Linked DNA regions of Diceros bicornis minor. The protein of the gene in region 1 purifies or fractionates together with the protein of each later gene. This does not show direct contact. Links are inferred from orthologs where the notes say so. Each region holds a gene or a part of one and is shown in the gene's direction. Other genes may lie near its edges. The genes, in order: PSMB5 and PSMD5.

Region 1 (10,194 bases):
AGATGAGAACGGAAACAGGAGGAAGAAGAGAGACCAGGATAGGATGGAAAAAAGCAGAGAAGAGGATGGCAAGAAAAAGGTCTAGCACCCAGCACGGTGTCTGGCGTGTAGCAGGCACGCAGTAAGTACTTGCTGAAAGAAAGACTCGGTGCCGAGAAGGGGCTGAACCAATCTACTGGGCGTCAATAGGAACGTGTTGGACAGAGCCATCAACAGCTCTGGGAGGCAGAAAGGGATGGAGACTTGGAACAGATGAAGCCGGCATCTCACAAGGGCTGGAGCCAGAAACTGTGAGGCTGCTCCCCCTGCTGCCCCATCCTCCCACCCACTCCCTGAGCCAGCACCCCGAGTCCTGTCGCTTCTCACAGCGTCTCAGTCTCTGCAGGCATCCTGTAGTCTCCCAGTTCCAGCCCCTACAGAGAGTTCACCAGCTCTTTGCGGGGCGGCAGGCTCAGGATGGGCCTGGCTGGCCTCCTCCTCCTCTTCCTTCTCTGGCTCCGGTAGCTTCTGCAGCTCCGAGTACAGCACCCAGGCATCATTGCGTGACACGTACTCCCATCCACTCTCTCGCACGTGAAAAAGGTCTACAGAACCCCCTGAGTAGGCATCACGGTGCGTGGCGTGGGCCACGGCGCGGCGAGCCAGGGCGTAGGCTTCCTGGGTGGTCATGTCGTAGCGGTAGCTGCGGTCCAGCACGCCATAGGCATAGAGAGATCCAGAGCCCACTGAGAAGATGTCCCCCTGCAGGCAGGTGCCGTCACTGTACACATAGAAGAGGGCCGGGCCCGAGCGGTCCCAGCCACACAGGGCAGTGGCCACACACAGATCCAGCCCCCGGTAGTGGGACATCATGGCTGACAAGAGTTTGGCAGCACTGGCCACACTGGGCAGCTGCCCCTCCCTCAGTGCCCGCAGCCGCAGCTCCCGCTGTAGCACCCGGTACCATGTGGCACAGTCAGCGGAGGTGCCAGAGGTGGTGCCCAGGAGGTGCTGGTGCACAGGGATGACCTTGCATGAGGCTGGACAAGCCACGTAGTTGCCACAGGAGGAACGCGTGTCAGCCGCAGCAATGACTCCGTGACGGAAGCGGAAGGCCAGGGTGGTGGTGCCGTGGGCCAGCCTGGGGCCGTGGATCTGCAAGAAGGTTTGAGGGTCACAGCCCCGGGGCACAGCCCAGCCGCCAGCCTGAAGCAGGTGAGGTGACAGTCCCTGGGTGTCGGGGGCCTGCCACTTGCACACATCCTGCAGAGCCATCCCTGGGACTGAGTGAAGGCTGGAAGGAGCAAGGCAGGGATTTGTGGGCTGGGGTCAGCTGAGGAAAGAGGGACGCCACGGAGAAGCTGGGCTGCAGCCAGAACAGGTGAGGAAGGCATGTGACCTGTGGTTCACTTCTCCCTAACTCCAAATCAGGCTTTGGGACAAGCTGATGGAGCAGCCCCCTCCTCCCCAGAGGACTGCAGAGGGGAGACAGGATGAGGCCAGCAGAGTCTCTAGTGCTGGGAAGACGCTGCCCATCACATACCTGAGCGTCACCCAGGGAGTCTCCTGTCTGTCTTCCCCCAAGCACCTGGAGTGGAGTGGGGGCTGGGTAACCGCAAAGGAAAGGAGGCGTGAGTGGAAGGAGCAGGGCAGGGTTCCTCTTGTTCTTCCTGCGGGGGGCATTGGGCATGCAAAGATCGATAAGGCTCTGTCCCCGCCCTGAAAGAGCTCCCAGCCTAGGCGGAGGTGAGGACAAGTCAGTGCTCAGATGTAGTCAGAATAGAGTGCCAAGGACCCACTGAGGCAAGAGTCCCTGACGTGGGGTTCTCCCTTCAGAGGTAGGGGCCAGGGAACTGTGGCCCTCAGCTCACATTTTCACCTCATGGTCAAGGTGAGGAAGGAGAAATGGACTGAGACAAGGACAAAAGAGAAAACAGCAAGAGAGCCTGTGAGGTGGGGTGGGGAGGCTCAAATACCTTCCAGAAAGTCAGGGTACTAAGGTGCAAGGTGAAGGGAAATTAGAACCTGAGGCTCTATCTCCTCCACTTTGGGCGTGAATATGAACTTCCATCTGCATACAGAGATGGCATTCCTGAGAGTTCTCGGGCAATATAGCTTCTCAGACTTCTGTTCCAGTTCTGAGGATGTAGCTGAAAGGATCTAGTGGCCTTCCCTCTCCTGGTCCTCCTTCTGCCCAATAGTTCACAATGGCAAGAAACTGGTTTGTAGTTCTGAGGCAGGAGAAACAACTGACCTTGACCCCATAATGCTGAGTCTAAGTCTTAGACCAACCAGGGGGGGTCAAGGGGTAAGGTTGCTGGACCCTGACAACTGGCCCTTCAGAAAGACAAAGTAGATTGGGCCAGAGTAACAAGCTGGAACTATTTCCAGCACCATATGGAGTATATTTTACTAAATATTGCAGCTCGAAGGGATGTTGTGGGAATGGGTTTATTCAAAGAAACAGACCCAGACACAAAGGAAAGAGCCTGCATGCTCCAGACACCATGGTGGTGGGGCTCTGGCAGTTTCCTGGCGTCTCAGTCTAATGGCAAGTGTAAACCTGTCATGGGAAGACTGGAGAGAGCAGGAGGTCAAGCCGAGGTCAAGCCAAGTTCAACCAGTCCTCCCTTCCTTTGAGTAGGACCACATGGGGATCTTACTGAAAAGATAAGAATGTCTCCTCTTTCTAAAGACTGTCTTAGGGCCGGCCTGGTGGCTTAGCGGTTAAGTGTGCGTGGTCCACTACTGGCGGCCCAGGTTCAGAACCCCAGGCACGCACCAACGCACCGCTTCTCCGGCCATGCTGAGGCCACGTCCCACGTATAGCAACTAGAAGGATGTGCAACTATGACATACAACTATCTACTGGGGCTTTGGGGAAGAAAAAAAAAGGAGGAGGATTGGCAACAGATGTTAGCTCAGAGCCGGTCTTCCTCAGCAAAAAGAGGAGGATTAGCACAGATATTAGCTCAGGGCTGATCTCCCTCACAAAAAAAATAAAAAATAAAAAAAAATAAAATTTAAAAAATAAAGACTGTCTTAGACACTTCATACATCGCTGGATTGCCACCTCCCTAGGTCAGGCCATTATCAAGTCAGATCTGGACAATCTGGAGGCCATTATCAGTCAGATCTGGAGATCTGCCCTCCAGTCTCCCCTCTAATCTTATCCTCCACACTGATGTGTTTTCCGAAGGAATCACTCAAATTCTGTGTCTCTTCTACTAAGAAACCTGGAAGGGCTTCAAAATCAAATCTGAACCACCTTCTCTGCCCCAGGCATTTAAGGCCTCTGGCATTTAAGGCCACTATGGTCCAATCCCAATTCACCCACTACAACCTCTTTTTACTCTATTCCTAACACATTTCCCACCTCCCCTTCATCTATTTGAATCCTATTCTTCAAAGTCTGGCTTAATTACCACGTATTCTGAAAATCCTTTCCAGGTATGGGCTGAGAGAGGAGAGACTGTGGGTTTGAGGAGTCAATGGGACCCAAGAGGCATTTAGAGAAATGAATCCAGACCTCCTTGGCAAAGCCTTCCTGGACCCCCAACCTCATCCCAACCTATAGTGACCTCCTCTCCCACCTCTAAACTACAGCACTTATCATTCCTACCCACCCACCCCAGCTTTATTGAGATATAATTGACATATAACATTGTATAAGTTTAAGGTTCACAATGTGATGTTTGATACATATATATATTGGAAAATGTTTACCACAACAAGGTTAGTTAACACATCCTCTACCTCACATAATTACCATTTTTGTTGTTGTTATGATGAGACCATTTAAAATCTACTCTCTTCACCTCTCAAGTATACAATACAGTATTGTTAACTATTGTCACCATGCTGTACATTACATTCCCAGAACTTATTCCTCTTATAACTGCAAGTTTGTGCCCTTTGACCAACACCTCCTTGTTTCCTCCACCCCCAGCCCCTGGCAACCACCAATCTACTTTCTGTTTCTAAGAGTTCGGCTTTATTAGATTCCACACGTGAGATCATACAGTATTTTTCTTTCTCTGTCTAACTTATTTCACTTAGCATAATGCCCTCAAGTTTCATTCATGTTGTTGCAAATGGCAGGATTTCCTTCTTTTTTATGGCTGAATAATATTCCACCACATAGATAACATTTTATTTATCCATTCATCCGTTGATGGACACAGGTTGTTTCTATGTCTTGTCTATTGTGAATAACGCTGCAATGAACATTGGAGTGCACATATCTCTACAAGATAGTGATGTCATTTTCTTGAGATAAATACTCAATTGCGGGATTGCTGAATCACATGATAGTTCTGTTTTTAATTTTTTGAGTAATCTCCATACTGTTTTCCATAGTGGCTGCACCAATTTACATTCCCACCAACAGCAGCGTCATTTGTACTTCTCCTTTTTGAGGTCTCCAAGTGTAGGGACCTTAGAGCAGAGAACTACTGTAAAGTAAATCAGAAACAGATTATGGAAGGCCTTGAATGCCATGCTGAAGAGCTGGACCTTACAGAACATTTTTGAGCAGGTGAGTGATAAGATCAAGATGGTGTTTTAGGAAACTCAGTCTGGTGATGTGCAGAATGAATTACAGAGTACAGTCTGGGCCCAGAAAATCAATTAGGAGAATATTTCAAGAGTGAGGAGATAAGAAGCCAAAGGTGGTATTAGTTGCAATTGAAAAGAATGTGAGAAGGATTGTAGAGGGAGAATCAACAGGACTTGGCAACTCACTGGCTGTAGAGGAAAGGAAGGGGAGTTGTTAAAGGTGAGCCAGGGCTTCAAGCCTCTGTGACTGGAAGAACACTGTTGTCATTCTTTCATGTATTCATTTGGCAAACATGTATTAAGCACACAGTGGGTACAGAGATGAATAGTAGACATATACCTGTCTTTAAAAGCTCACAATCCAGTAGGAAATAAATGTACACTTACAACCAGGTAAAATGTGAAAGGGCCTTAAGAGAGGTACAAATGCCATTAGTGGCAGAGTGACAGAACCCTGACAGAAGTCAGAAGGAGGCCTAGGTGCATTGCAGGGGTGACTGCAAAATAATACCTGCTCAATAAGCAGAGGCACTCTGCATTTGCCACACACTCTAACTGTGAGACACAGATAAAAATCTGCTTCATTCCATTCTGATGGTTGGTCTTGGAAAGGGTTGCCAAATTTCAGCATTAAAAATACAACACATGCAGAGTCTGCTGGGGAAAAGGAGGGGCTGAGTTGGGCATGAGAGGAAAGTGAAATTTAGATATTGATGGATGTTGCCGCTGGAATCCACCAAGGAAGGCCAGACACTGACTTCATAGAGCCTTAAAGCAGGAGGCAACATTTCATACATTTGCCCACTTCCTTGCTTGTTATGGTTCCCAAAAGAGTTGAAAAACGAAGGTGGGTGGAGAGAGGGAGAGGCAATAAAATATAGCACATTCCTGAATAAAGAGCTTGTCTTAGCAAGCTTAAATTGGAGAACCTCTTGGTACATCTTTATGGAGCCTTCTCTCCTCCAGGCTCTGAGATGGTAAACGACTATTGACTCAGTTATTCAGGAGCTGAATTGAGAATCTAGTTTGTGGATTAACTGGGCCCTTTGCTTTTTCTTCTTTATTCTATCTGCCTTTTGGGCCATTCATTACTTATAAGATTTTCCACCAGAGGGTGGGAGTAAAGAAAATATTGAATCTTAAAAGTTGGTTACTGTTAGAGAACGTGGGTAGTGTGGCGATTAATGCTAGCAAACAAGACGTATAGCACTTTCATAATTGTTGCGCTTTTCACCACAACCTCCTGTGGTTTAACTAACTTCATAGGAAAATGGCCTCAGAGGAGATCATTATTTTACCCAGTATTAGAGGGTGCCCTTAAACAAAATGGCAACTCCAGTCGCGTTAACAGGGTGCTGAATGAGTAGAGATGTAAAGTGTTGCTCGGACACCGGGCTGGGCGCGGACGACTTACCGCTAAGGGTTCAGAACTGATTTTCAACCAGTCACGCCCTTCTCAAAGATGGCCGGCCTCACTTCCCGCACGCAACATGGACGTTTCCGATCGCTTCCTATGAATTTGAGGTTAATGTAATCCAGTACTGCTCTCATGACCAGAGTCAAGATGGCAGCCAGATCCCTTTAGAATTTAAGGGTAGTGAAGCCATTTATTTTTTTTCCCTCTCGGTGAAAATAGTCCCTTGCGCCTGGCTGTTGTTTTTGGAGGCGTGGTTGCCAGGAGTTAAAATGGCTCCGGGCTGGGATAGATTGAAAAGGAAGTGAAGCTGTGACAGCGAGGCGTTGCCCGGCCGCTCTTTCCTAGGCGTTCACTCCCGGAGTTCCTTTTGCCCTTACTAGACATGGCGCTGGCCAGTGTGTTGGAGAGGCCGCTACCGGTGAACCGGCGCGGGTTTTTCGGACTCGGGGGTCGTGCAGATCTCCTGGACCTGGGTCCCGGAAGTCCCAGTGATGGGCTGAGCCTGGCCGCGCCCAGCTGGGGTGTCCCAGAGGAGCCGAGAATCGAAATGCTTCATGGAACCACCACCCTGGCCTTCAAGGTGCAGACCCCGCCGTCGCGCCGGGCTGAGTCCCGCACGCCCGCGCCCCTCCCGGTTTCCCAGCCGACCGGAGCTCGCGGTGGCCGTGGTCAGGAAACCCAAGCGGAGGCCCGGGCCTCTTGTCTCCCCACCAGCGGCTTCGCTGTCTCATTGCCCAGGGAGGCCTCGGTTCTCGAGGGGGGCGGTGGGGCTGGGGGTGAGTGGGAGAAGGAACACGAGGCTGCTTGGGTTGATGCCTAGGCCACCCCCGGTTGCTCCTGTTCAGGAAAGGGGAGGCCGCAGCAGCAATGAACATTGGCAGAGGGAAGGCTGTTGTAACCATTCACCAAAGATTTTGGAAACTGGGTGGCCCCGCTGGCTAGGCGAGGGTAACCGAAACGTTATGGCATGTGGGGGAAGATTGGTGGGAGGGAGCACTGTACTAGGAGCCAAACAGTTGGGATTCCTGACCCAGCTTTGCAATAATGAACTCTACGATCTTGGGCAAGTCATTCGATCTCATAGAACCTGTTCCCTTTGATGTGAAGCTCAAGTGACATTAGTATGTGGGAAAGTATATTGTGAAGTATAATACGACAGAGATGATGTTCTGGGTTTGCACTGACGCAAAGAGAAATGTCAAGGAGATGTTTTTGTGGTCTGATGTGGCCTGCTTTGTGTTTTCCTCTGATCTTAACAGTTTCAACATGGAGTCATTGTTGCAGCGGACTCCCGGGCCACAGCGGGTGCCTACATTGCCTCCCAGACAGTAAAGAAGGTGATAGAGATCAACCCCTACTTGCTGGGCACCATGGCTGGAGGGGCAGCCGATTGCAGCTTCTGGGAGCGGCTGCTGGCTCGGCAATGTCGAATCTATGAACTTCGAAACAAGGAACGCATCTCGGTAGCAGCTGCCTCCAAGCTGCTGGCCAACATGGTGTATCAGTATAAGGGCATGGGGCTGTCCATGGGCACCATGATCTGTGGCTGGGATAAGAGAGGCCCTGGTGAGTTTAGCTGCAGTGGCATGATTCTTGGGCTGCCCCTACAGAAAGGAGGGGCTGGATGAACGGGTGAATGAAAGGGCTTTCAGTGCTGAGGATGTGTTGATTAGGTTCTGGGACCTTCCTTCTCTTTGTTCATGGAAGGCACTGTAGGGTGGGAAAGGGCCTTGGAGTTAGCCCTGCTGTGTCATGACTAACCGTGGGACCTCAACACAGGTTGCTTATTTTCTCAGCCTCTGTTTCCTCATCTGTTACATTGGTTAGATGAGGTAATACATGTAAAGCATGTAATGTCTGGCACATAATGTTTTTCCTTCTACTCTCTCCCCCACAAAATGATAAGACCTACAAAGAGTGGAATTTGAGAATTAAATTGGATAATAGACATAAAAACTCCAGTCAGTGCTATATAATAGAAATATAATATGAGCCACACATTTAAGTTAAAATTTTTTAGTGAATATATGAAAAAAGTAAAGATAAATAGGTGAAATTAATTTTAACAATTCATTTAATCTAAAATACCTAAAATATTATCGTTTTGGCATGTGGCACTAGCCCCATTTCAAGTGCTGAATAGCCACATGGGGTTAGTCGCTACTGTATTGGACAGCAAAACTTTAGTATACAGTAAGTAGCCACTCAAAAATTAGTCATTTCTCTTCCCTTTTTTGCTTTAGGGAGTCTTTGGCCTAGAAGGGGCCTTTTGGGTTCATCTCCTTTCCTTGCTTAATATAAACACCCTAGGTTCTAGTCCATCATCTCTCTCAAAAGAAATTCCTTAGCCTATTTTCCTTTCCAGTTTATAAAAACCTTGCTGGGAAGCTCAATCTTGTATCTGGTGTCAGTTCCTCTTCAGCCAGTTTTGAATGTCCCTTTAGTCAAGCTGGAATACAGCTAGTCACTTTCTGTGTAATTTTCCCCTTCCGTGCTTGAAAATAGTTACTCTTTGCTCCTATTGTTTTTGCTTCATTCATTTAGCTCCTTACTAAATGCCTAGTTTTCCTCTCTCGAACAATTGTAGGGTACCCACAACTTTTTCACTTGCTTTGGGGAATATATCAGTTCATTACTCAATGGAGAATGAATGCGGTGAGATTAAAAAGTAGATGTGAAAGAGGAGCTCAGTTTGTTACTTTGGAAAGCGAGACACTTTTCTCTTTGAAAGGTGTGAAAGAATAGTTCCATACATCTTGTGTGGTCTAGGGAAGCATTTCAGAAATGTTACTTTGAGCCCTTAGCTGTTGGGTTTGTTCCAGGTGGTAGAAACAGTGTAAGGGAGTACAGAAACTGGCTAGCAAGGACAACCCAGGAAGCTGAGTATAACCTAAATGGTACCCTGTCCAACCCTTCCTGACAAACCATCCCATTCAGAATGAGTCAGAACCAGACTGAACCAGACTGAGAAAGGATCACAGATCACTTAATATAAGGCTGAATGAGATGAGTACGATTTTTAAAAGAACCAATAAAATGCTGAAGAAGGTTTGAGGAGGAGAGGGTTACTTCTGATAGGAGGAATTGGGAAGACTTCATGGAAAGGTGGCAGTTGTCATGGATGCGAAAATGAGAGAAAGGAAACATAACAATCGAAGGAAGGAAGCATGAGGTTTTGGGGGGAATAACTGGAAGTCCAGTTTAACTGGAACTAAGGTGTGTGAAGGGGAGTAGTGAGCCACGAAACCAGAAAGGTAAATTGGAGCCAGGTGGTGACCCTGCTGGGCAAGGTAGTGGCAGTGGGACTGAGGAAGGGCTAGATTGGAGTGGACATTAGAATCATCTGAACCTGAAAACTGATCGGGGCAGTGGGTCCCCAACCTGGCTTTCATTATAATCACCTGAAGAACTTAAAAAACAAGCTCCATGCTTGTCCCCGACTCCAGACCAATTGAAATAAAAAACCTGGAGTAAGTCCTAGGCATCTTTTTTAAAAGCTTCCTTAGATGATTCAGATGCATAGTGAGAGTTAAGAACCACTGAAATAGGAGAAAGATAAGTGATGCCATTGGCAGAATTTGAAACTACAGGAGGAAGTATGGGTTGGTGGGGCACAAGAAGGATGAGTTTGGTAGGTAATGGAGAACCACTGAAAGTATTTGAGGACAGGAAGTTTGAATCTGAACTTGGTGAGAAAGGCATCCAGTTGGAGAGGTCCAGCAGACAGTTGGAACTGATAAAAGTTTTATTAAAATTTTTGTCTAAATTTTCATCTATATTAGAAGTTGGCTAACTTTTTCATAAAGGGCCAAATAGTAAATATTTTAGGCCTACAGGCCATATGTTCTTTGTCTCAATTATTTAACTCTGCTGTTTTAGCACAAAAGCAGTCATAGACAGTGTATACACAAATGGGTGTGGCTGTGTTCCAATGAAACTTTATTTATAAAAATAGGCGGTTGGCCTGGCCAACCCCAGGTCTATACTGGCACTAATAGAAATAATGTCAGCCATACATGTCATTTTAAATTTCATAGTAGCCATATTTTAAAAATTAAAAATAAAGAAGAAATTAATTTTAATAGTATGTTGTATTTAATCCAACAAATCCAAAATGTTATCATTTTAGCATGTGGTACTAGCTTCATTTCAGATGCTCAGTAGTGGCACGTGGCTAGTGGCTACCACATTGGACGGTGCAGATCCTTACAATATGACTTGGAACTCTAGGCTTTACTCTC
Region 2 (10,727 bases), on another chromosome or scaffold:
CACAGAAACTCTGTGACAGAACCAAGACTCGAATCCAAGACTTCTGCCTCCCATTCTGAGCTCTTTGAACTGCAAGGTACACTGACTAGGAATTGATCTAGTGGGGTCATTTCACCTTCACTCAATCCAGTGGCTCTCAACTCAGAGCAATTTTGCCCCCCAGGGGACAGGAGGCACTATCTGGAGAGAATTCTGATTGTCATGACTGGGGAGGAGATGCCATTGGCATCTAGTGGGTAGAGGCCAGTATTGCTGCTAAACATCCTTCTGTTGTACCAATGACCACATTGAAATACAGACAGTTGTTTACATATGTCTTCCCCATCGGACATGAGCTCTTCAGCCTCATTTATTTCGGTATTGCTGGCACTTTACCACCCCTGACAGGGCGAATGGGCTTGAGAAACATTTGTGCACCATACCAACAAAGCAGCAGTATGAAAGGTCAGTTTGGAACCAAGGGTGGACCACAATATATGAGAAAGTGACATGATGTGAATGCAAAACTGATGGAAAATACATACATCACAATATTCCCTAATAGAAACATTATAATAGGAAAAGATTTACTATAATTTTTAAAGAAAAGCTTTTATAACATTTTCATATTTATGTGTTTTACTGTATAACTTTTCTAATTTTATATTCTAAAATATTTTATGTATCCTTTCAGTTATTTCATATTTCATTCTGCCTTTTCCCTTTTTTTGTCCTGCAGTATCTGCATAGCCTTTAGGAGGTTATGACTGACTTGACAGTCTGTTAAGGCAGAAGGGGCCTCAGAAACCACCGAGTGGTTCTACACTTGCAATCCACCTAGTTTTAAGGAATCTGCGAATACTCTGAACTTGAATGCAACATTGTGTTTACCTATATACTTTCCTTGGGTACAAATCCAGAACTTTAACAAAAAAAAAAATTCAAGAAAAATTAAAATCCCAAAAAGGTTAAGGGCTACTGATTTGTACCAATTTTTACAGATGGGGAAAGTAAGGGTCAAAGAGGGAACGAAAATCACCCAAAAAGGGAGCAGCAGAGCTAGGCTAGACCCCTGGGCTTCTGACCCTGCCCTACAGTTCTCCTTACCACCACCACCACTGGTGGTACTCTGTAGCCATCTCCAACTTTAACATTTTAAGATATTTCAGAGATGAGAAAACAAAGCCCCCAGAAAAATACAGAAAAAGAAGACGGTAACTGCAATAGAAACAGAAAAGGAATCTATCATGTGACCCTTAGATGAGAACTCACCAGCAGACACCCCTTCACCTCTCAGACCTCCCTGGCAGTGAAACACAGTCCAGTCACTCCTCCTCACAAGGCAGGAGTGAAGGGGTGCTGGTAATCTTCAGAACCACGCCACAATCTCCAACACACCGGGGCTGTCTCCAGGGATCTTACCCTCCACCGGCTACCTGCCTGCCTCCAGCTCAAAATCCCAGGGGCACTAAAGAGAAAGGCGCCTTCTTCCCTCAGTCCCCAGGCTGGAGGTTTAGGGGTGAGGAGTTCCTAGCGTCGTAGCATGGGGCACTCACCAGGAGGCATATAAGGACCGAGGGCCGCAGGAGGCCTGGCAGAGGGCACCTCGAGCCCAGCTTGTCCATGGCGTCGCTGGTAATCGAGCGGCACAGCCCTAGGGAAGGGCGGCCTCAGGCTGAGTTGCCGGCTGGTGGGCGGGCACTGAGGGCCTAAACTGCCCGCTCCTCTCACCACCTGCTGCCGGCCCCACTGCCCAGCCACGCCCCAATCAGGAAGGCTGGAAGGAGACAGTGCAGGGGGCGGGGAATGAGGGAGTCATTTTCATTGGGCAACTCTCTAGAAACAAAACCCAAGCACCACATGCAGACCTAAAACCCCTGCAAAAATAAAAATACTAATTTTTCCTTCCCACTTTACCAACAACAAAAAAATCACAAACTCCCCAGAGATGTACAGATAAAAAGATCTAAGTTTCTTAAATACATAAAACCTTCAGAAACCACAGCCACAGAAACCACAAACACTAATACACACACACAAAACTCATCCACTTTACAGAGGCCCATCCCGCCAACAAAAACAAGTAAGTGAAGCACACTCAGCTGCCTTCCGGTCCCCCACACCACCCCCTCCTCCCAGGGTCTCCCTTCTAATCCTTGGCTTAGAACACTAGCTCTGACTGCTCTCCCTATGAACTCATTCATCTTTCCAGGCCAGCTGCTCCGTGCAGCCTTTCCCCGAGTTAATCCCGCAGTCCTCGGTTTCCCCTCAGGAAACTTTGCACACACTTCTGTTGCCACATTTAACATCAACTATGGGGAATTACAAACAAACAAGTAAAGCAGCAAGCTAATGGTTCACCGTTGCCCTTTGGGAACGCAGAGGCCACTGTGGCCAGCGTTTCCAATTTCTTAATCCAGTTTTTTAATGTGAAATATCTTAATTTTTAAAATATGACATTTCTGGGGTGGGGCAAGGGACTGAGTGCACAAGGGCACAAGCAAACTTTTTTAAGTTAAAGGAACAGTTCTATAGCTTGATTGTGGTAGTGGTTACACGAGTGTTAAAAAAATCAACAAACTGTACACTTAAATTGATGAAGTGTATTGTATGTAAATGGTACCTTAAACAAAGGAGGAGGGGGATGCTAGAAACCAGTCCAAAATTGCGTTAAACTGGGTAGACCAAACATATCTGTTAGCCAAATCTAGCCTGCAGGCTGCGGGTTCACAGCTTCTGTGTTTATTTTAATTACCTGTTTACCTGTCTGTCTCATTCTTTAGGACTATAAATTCTTAAAGACCTGATACATTTCCTAGGAAAGTGTCTGACAAAGTTAATAAATCAACTGTAGCCGTAGTCCTATCGTTTACATTGTTGGCTGTGCAGACTCAGGCCAGTTACTTAACCTCTCTGAGCTTTTGAGGGTTTTTTGGTAAAGGAAGGGCTAACACTTTCTTCATAGGTCTAAAGTGAGGATTAACAGAGAAGATTAACGTAGAGTGCTTTATAAAATGTAAGACCACGTCAGCATTTCAAGAGCAAGTAGTCTCATGCCAACTACCATTGGAAATGGTAGAAAATCTCCATTTCTGATTAAAGAATTTAGTATCTGTGCAAAAACTAAGGTTAGAGAAAATGAGGCTGAGTGGTCCTAAGAAAATCTTTATATTCAAAGTCCATTAAAATAAATCAAGACTGTGATCTTTTATACCTATTACATTAATAAGAAAATCCACTGTTAATGACCATTTACCTTAGATCCTGAGACGATTTCCTGAGATGATGTCCCCAAGTTTAGCACACCCCATATAGTTTATGCTCAATAAATGTTTGTTGAATGACTAAATGATACAGATGTGTGGCTGATGATTATAAGGATGATCACGATGAAGGTGATGTTAGGGCAACAAGGGAAGTTCAGCAAGAGATGAACTGTTATTTGGAAGAAACTGCCTCTGGATTCTTTTCTTCCTTCAACTCAGGCACCTTACTCTCTCCAGATTCAATTCCAAGGTTAGATTCCAAAAGTCCAATTCTGCATTTATGGCTTTGGCAGATTCTTCAGATATAGTAAGATTCTTAGTGCCACTGCCTGAGTGTCCACGCTCTTCTTCTGAAGGCTTCTTATCCTTTTTCTCTCTCTCTACCTTCTCCCCCTCCTTATAGGATTCAGAATCAGACTCAGACTCTCCTTCAGACTCATTCTGTACCCATCTCCTTCACCCACACTACTTCCTCTTTGTGTGTATTTTCCTTCTCTTTCTTAAACTCATTTGCTTTATTTTGAACGTTCTTTTGAATCTCTTTATGGGTATACGACAATTTATTGAAATCTTTTTAAAAGGTCAAACTTGGATCCAGGAAAGGATCCATATCAATTGCAGCATCAAGGAGGTCTGAGGCCTGGCGTAAGACAGCAGACAGTTTCCTTAGATTCATCTTTACCTCTGGTTCCAGGGACTTGTCTTCTTCCTCATCTATAGATACTCTTTCTCAGTTATCACTAAAGCTTCAAACTTGAGTAGCTCATTAATTTCCCTTTCATCAATACTGATGAATTTAAAGCCCATCTGTTTTGCAGACTGTATGATTTTTTTAACTTCTTCATTAGCTCTAAGGAAACATGCATAATCATTCACAACACCCTCCCAAAGTTTCAACCAGGCTTTAAGAGTAGCCGGTTTTATATCACTCATCACCTCTTCTATCACTACCAAAGCATCGGCAGTGTGGTACTGTTGCCATGCTTCTTTTGCAGTAAAGCAAGAGTTTTTTTTCAATATAGTCAACAAAATGGTCAACCATATGCTTGGTGTAATACCTCCTGAATGCTTCAATTATACCCTGATCCAAGGGCTGAAGACAGCCAGTACGTTCCAGAGGGAGGAACACACTATCAACTTTAGGATGAGCAAATAATAATGAGTCTGGGTGATTGGGACCTCTGTCCAAAATTAGCAACACTCTGAATTCAAGATTGTTTTCTGGTGATGGCCCTGTGGCATAGTGATTAAGTTCAGTGTGCTCTGTTTCGGCAGCCCCAGTTTGCAGGTTCGGATCTCAGGCACGGACTTACACCACTTGTCAGCCATGCTGTGGCAGCAACCCACAAACAAAATAGAGAAAGATCAGCACAGATGTTAGCTCAGGGCTAATGTTCCTCAAGCAAAAAAAAAAAAAGATTTTTTTCTGTTAAATAACTCCAGGCTTGATGGAGAAAACCAATTATGAAACCAATGCGAAAAGAGGGCGGCGGTTAATGATACTCTGGGGTGTGACTGCCAGAAAACAGGAAGACGTTTTTTATCTTTTTCCAAAAGACAAGTGGGATTAGCGTCTTTATAAAGCAGCAATGGTTTTATCATTTTGTCACCTGTGGCACTGGCACAAAAAAATGAGGGAAATCCTGTCCTTAGCTTCCTCTAAGCTTTCTGGCTTTTTGTCTTACTCCCTAAAAGTATGAGAAGGCATGCACTTCCAAAACAAGCTCATCTCCTTGGCGTTGAAGACCTGTTGAGGCACACAGCCGCTAGCTCTGATCAGTTTCTGGATCAGAGTTGGAATTGCTCGGGATACTTGGGTGCCGACTGGGCATTTAAGGGTTCCTCCTCCTCCATCAACCTCGAATTTCGCAGACTGCAGCCATCTCTAAACTTCTCAAACCATCCTTTGCTCGCATGAAACTGATCTGGGTTGCCCTTCCCGATGACTTCCATCAGTTGCTCGTAAACGCGTTTGGCCTGGTTGCAGGTGGCCTTCAGCGTCAGAGGCCGCCCCGCTACGGTCTGGTCCTCGAGCCAGGTTAACTCAGTCTCCATCCTCTCTATGTTTACATCACGGGGAATGCACAGCACCCTGGAGCAGACGGGGGAAACTCCCCATGTTGGCCCTGATGGCCCTCTCGTTTTTCTTAATGGTGCGCACAGTGGACTCACTGACGCCAAAAAAGGCGCCCCCCGTCGGTGTTACTCACGTCTCCTTCCAGCTTCTGGGGAATTTTCATCTTGTCTTCCAAAGGCATGACCCTCCGCCTCCTCTAGATACGTGTCTTGCCCGGGAGCAGGATGCCCATCGCCGCCGCTCCGCCCGGGGTGGCCTCCACCGCTGCGGCTCTCGCCGCGGCCCAGAGCCTGGTTTGAGAGCCAGAAGGACGCCCGCGAGGCCGTTTAACCTCCAGTGGGCCCTCATTCGCACCACTCCGCTTGCCGGACATTGGACGAGCCTTCGCTCCCTGTGGGAAACACACACGCCGACCGGAAAGTCGGCCCGCTTGACCAACTGAGCGGCGCCCAAGATGACGCGCGACCCCGCAACCACCAGCGATCGCCGGCTCGACCTTAACAGCCCCGGTCTCGCGAGGCTTGACATCCCGCAGCGCGCGCGGCCAGCCAGCTCCGCATTGCTATTGGTGCGGCCCGGCGGTTCGCCGTCAGAGCCGAAACTCGGGAGAGGGAGGCTGCGCCCGGCAGATCTCGCGAGGCTCGGGGAAGCGCGCCGCGAACAGGGCCGGGCGGGCGGATCCGCCAGCCCCTGCGGGAGGGGGCATGATGGCGGCCCAGGTGCTGGCGCTGCTGAGGGAGGTGTCGCGGCTGGAAGCGCCGATGGAGGAGCTGCGCGCGCTTCAGTCGGTGCTGCAGTCAGTGCCACTTAGCGAGCTCCGCGAGCAAGCGGCGGAACTGCGCCTTGGCCCGCTTTTCTCCCTGCTCAACGAGAACCATCGGTGAGAGGACGCTGCGGCTTCAGTGGGGGAGAGTGACAGCCCCAAGTATGGAAACCGGGGTGGGTGGGGTGAAGGGGAAGGCTTTTCCAGTCGCAGTGAAGGTAGAATATAGCTGAAATGTAGAGAGGGGAGGACCCTGGTCTGAGAGTCAAGAGACGGGGGTCAAGTCCAGGTTCTCAGGTGTGCCCCTGGCCTCTCTGCCTTCATCCTTGAAATAGGATTTGGGGGAGGAAAGCAAGGTTGCCCATCTGCATGGAGGACTCCACAATCCTGTGTACAGGTCCTTGGCTTTTTCCCTCTTAAGAAGGGGTGCTATCCTGGCAATTTGGCAAGATCCGTCAACATTTTTAATTCACATGCCTTTTGATCCAGTAATTCCTGTTATAGAACCTTAACATGCAAGTATACTCCGACACAAAGTGTACTGTATATACGGGAATATTCGTAGCAGAAGGTGACAGCAAAAACCTAGAAACAACCTAAATATCCATTAAAAGAGGATTCTAAATAAATTATGACACATTACTATGTAACACTATACAGCTGCTAGAAAAATTGAGGTAGATCTATACATGTGGACATGGAAAGATCTCTAATATATGTTGTTGAATGGAAAAAGAAAATTGTAGGAGTTTATGAGCCCCATTATGTGTTATTTTTACAAAGAATTACAATTTTCCCGCACAAACACACAGGGCTAGTATAACATTGGGAATGTCTGAAAGGTACAGCAGAAACTATTAATATAGAAGTGGGACTTAGAATGGTAGGATGGCAACTTTTACTTTTCATTTTATGCTCATTTGTTGTATTTGATTAAAAAACACTTTGTATTTGATCCTCCAATAATTTTAAAAGGTTGAAAATGTTTGTGATCCAGAAATTTAAAAGTGACCTTTCTGCTTGAAAGGAATGAGTCACTGAATCAACACTGGATGATTTCGGAAGACTTTCTTGGCTCTGACCTAAGATTCCTCCCTTTTTCCTATTTGTTCTCCCTTCATTAAATCCGTTAGTTAACATTATTGAGGTCTGTTTCTGAAATATGTCTTTGTTTGCCCATTTTAATTCAGGCCCTCGTTTTCTCCCTCTTGCTAGGTCTATTACATTAGTCTGACTTTTCATTACCTCAAAGCTTCCTTTTCTAGTGTGTCCTTGCCACACTACAACCACAGTGAACTTCTCGGGTCATTTGGCTCACGTCTTTTCCATGGTTTCCCATTGCCTACAGTGTAAAATCATGACTTCTTAGTCTGGTGTTTGGACCCTTACAGTATATTTCCATCCTATTTTCCAGCCTCATCTTTTTCCTCCACTCCTGTAAACATATTTCATCTGCTCCAGCTACCACGTGGCACCACTAACTTTCCCTTGATCATGACTTGGCACTTTTCTAACTTTGTTCATGCCATTCCTTCTAACTGAAATGCCCTCCCCTCTCTCCAAATCCTTTAAGGCCCAGGTGAAGTGCCATCCACTGCAAAAAGTCTTTCTTGGTCACTCCAGTTGCAAGTGACTGGTCCTCAGATCTCCTGAAGGACGTTATCATTACTTCTGTTGATAGTTAACACTATTGCTTTATGTTATAGTTCTGTATGTGTTTGTGTCTAGTTTGTAAATTCTTTGAAGGCAGGGGCTGTATTTTGTTCATCTCTGCATCTCTCATAGGGCGCAGCACATAATGCAATATATGCCAAATAAAAGATTAGACTCATAAATTTTAGAGAGGCCTAGTCCAACCACTTTATATTATAGGTGAAGAGACTTTCAAGGCTCATACCATAATTTAACACCAGAGATGCAATAGGAACTGAAATGAAGAGGAGTTTTAAGAATAAGTTCTATGGGGGGGATGGTTTGCTGACTGAAGGAGCAGTGCTCTAGCAAGCAGTCTTAATGAAAATTTAAAGGCAGAGTAATTCAGAACTGGGTACATAGTAGATAGCAATTGCAATTTGTGGAAATAATAATTCTCTGGATGGTAGATTGGCATTCTCCAGATGTATTGCTATTATCCTGGTTAAACCACACAGGTTGCTATATATTAGTTCAAGATCTGATCTGATAGATGTAAATCTAGAATCTTTTTTTTTTTTTGTGAGGAAGATCGGCCCTGAGCTAACATCCATGCCAATCCTCCTCTTTTTGCTGAGGAAGACTGGCCCTGTGCTAACATCTGTGCCCATCTTCCTCCACTTTGTATGGGACGCCACCACAACCTGGCCTGACAAGCGGTGTGTCGGTGCGCACCCAGGATCCGAACCCGGGCCACCAGCAGCAGAGCGCACGCACTTAACTGCTACACCACGGGGACAGCCCCTAAATCTAGAATCTTGATAGGAGTTTTTGTGAGGGAAAGTAAGTCCTAAGGTTACTGCTTTGCAACATGGAAGTCAAACAAGACTGATTATAAGTTATTAACTCTTTGGCTTCCTGGTTCCTAAGGGCCACATGTGGCCTGAAATGTGTGTACTATGTGGTTTAGCCTACCATTGCTTTTTTTAAAAACAGCTTTATTGAGATATAATTTACATAAAATAAACTGTACATGATAAAACATACAATTTGACAAGTTTTGACATGTATATACCCATGAAACCATTACCACAATCAAGATAGCAAAGCTATCTCTCACCCCCGGAAGTTTCCTCGTGCCCCTCAGTAATCCCTTCCTGCCTCAGCCAGGCAACCACTGATCTGCTTTCTATCACTATAGATGTTTGCCTTTTTTTTTTTAGAGTTTTATATAAATAGAGTCATACAGTATGTACTCTTTTGTTTGGTTTCTTTCACTCATCATAATTATTTTAAGATTTATTCATGTGATATGAATAAATACTTTATTCCTTTTTATTGCTGAGTAATAGTCTATTATATGGATGTACCACAATTTGTTTATTAATTCACCTGGTGATGAACATTTGAGTTGTCTCCAGTTTGTGTATATTACAAATAAATGCTCACTGCTGTGAACATTTGTGTACAAGTCTTTACATGGACATATTTTTTCTTCTCTCTTTGAGTGAATACCTAGGAGTAAAATGGTTGGGTCACATGGTAGGTGTACGTTTAACTTTTAAGAAACTGCCAAACTGTTTTCCAAAGTGATTGAACCATTATACATTCCTACCAGCAGTGTATGAGAGTGGATTATAAACCTAATATAAAACCCAAAACTATAAAATTTCTCAAAGAAAACTTATAAAAAAATTTTTGTGCCTTGGGTTAAGCAAAGATTTCTTTGATGTGACACCAAAAGCATGATCCATAGAAGAACAAATCAATAAATTTTGACTTCATCAAAATTAAACATTCTCCTCTTCAAAGGTCACAGTTAAGAGAATGGAAAGGCAAGTCACAAATGGAGAAAAATCTTTGTAAAGAACATATTTGATAAAGGACTTAAGTATTTGGAATAGATAAAGAACTCTCAAAACTCAATAACAAGAAAAGAACCCAACTTAAAAATCAGCGAATTATTTGAACAAGAAGATATATGGCTGGCAAATAAGCACATGAAAACATACTCAACATCATTAGTCATTAGGGAAATACAGATTAAAATCACATTGAGATTCTACTACATACCTATTAAAATGGCTAAAACATACGAACAAAAAACACCAAAACAACCCAAGTGTCCATCAGTGGATGAATAGATAAACAAAATGTGGGATATACATGCAATGGAATATTATTCAGCCTTAAAAAGGAAGGGAATTCTGACACATGCTACAACATGGATGAACTTTGAAGACATGCTAAGTGAAATAAGCTAGACACAGAAGGACAAATATTGTATGATTCCACTTATATGAGGTACATAGAGTAGTCAGATTCATAGAGATAGAAAGTAGAGGCTTTGGGCTAAAGGAAGGGGAGAATGGGGAATTAGTGTTTAGTGGATACAGTGTTTCTGTTTGGGAAAATGAAAAGGTCTGGAGATGGATGGTGGCAATGGTTGCACAACTGTGTGAATATACTTAATGCCACTGAGCTATATGCTTAAAAATGGTTAAAATGGTAAATTTTATGATATGTACAATTGCAGTTTTTTAAAAAAAGGAAAAGAAACACACACCCATTAACAGTCCCTCCCCATTCTCCCTCTTATCCTCTGCCCCAGCCCCTGGCAATCAGGAATTTGCTTTCTGTCTCTATGGATTTGTCTATTCTGGATATTTCATATAAATGGAATCATCATCAAAAGGAAGCCTTTCATATCTGGCTTCTTGCACTTAACATATTTTCAAGGTTCATCCATGTTGTAGCATGAATCAGTACTTCATTTCTTCTTATGGTTGAATAATATTCCATTGTATGGATATGCCGTATTTGTACATTTATTAATTGGTAGACATTTGGGTTGTTTCCACTGCTGTGAACATTTGTGTACAAATTTTTGTGTGGGTATATGTTCTCAATTATCTTGGGTATAAAAACATTCTTGATTACTCCCTTAGGCTCAGTTATGCCAAGTGCAATCCCTAAGTTAAAAGGATATGTTCATTTTAAGGCTTTTGCT

Evidence for each region.
Region 2: the proteins of PSMB5 (region 1) and PSMD5 fractionate together in Homo sapiens (co-fractionation; 3 studies listed by BioGRID). This does not show direct contact. The link is inferred for Diceros bicornis minor from reciprocal best matches to the Homo sapiens genes PSMB5 and PSMD5.

What each region holds. Positions count from the first base shown.
Region 1 is NC_080744.1:24,723,825-24,734,018, forward strand, and holds the start of PSMB5 (proteasome subunit beta type-5), read left to right. Parts: upstream 1-6,319; 5' UTR 6,320-6,335; coding exon 6,336-6,533; intron 6,534-7,212; coding exon 7,213-7,519; intron 7,520-10,194. Other genes in the region: PSMB11 (proteasome subunit beta type-11), read right to left, coding at 373-1,254. UniProt on the Homo sapiens protein: Component of the 20S core proteasome complex involved in the proteolytic degradation of most intracellular proteins. This complex plays numerous essential roles within the cell by associating with different regulatory particles.
Region 2 is NC_080767.1:27,975,383-27,986,109, reverse strand, and holds the start of PSMD5 (26S proteasome non-ATPase regulatory subunit 5), read left to right. Parts: upstream 1-6,003; 5' UTR 6,004-6,026; coding exon 6,027-6,202; exon of another isoform or gene 6,203-6,247; intron 6,248-10,727. Other genes in the region: protein CutA homolog, read right to left, coding at 1,536-1,604. UniProt on the Homo sapiens protein: Acts as a chaperone during the assembly of the 26S proteasome, specifically of the base subcomplex of the PA700/19S regulatory complex (RC).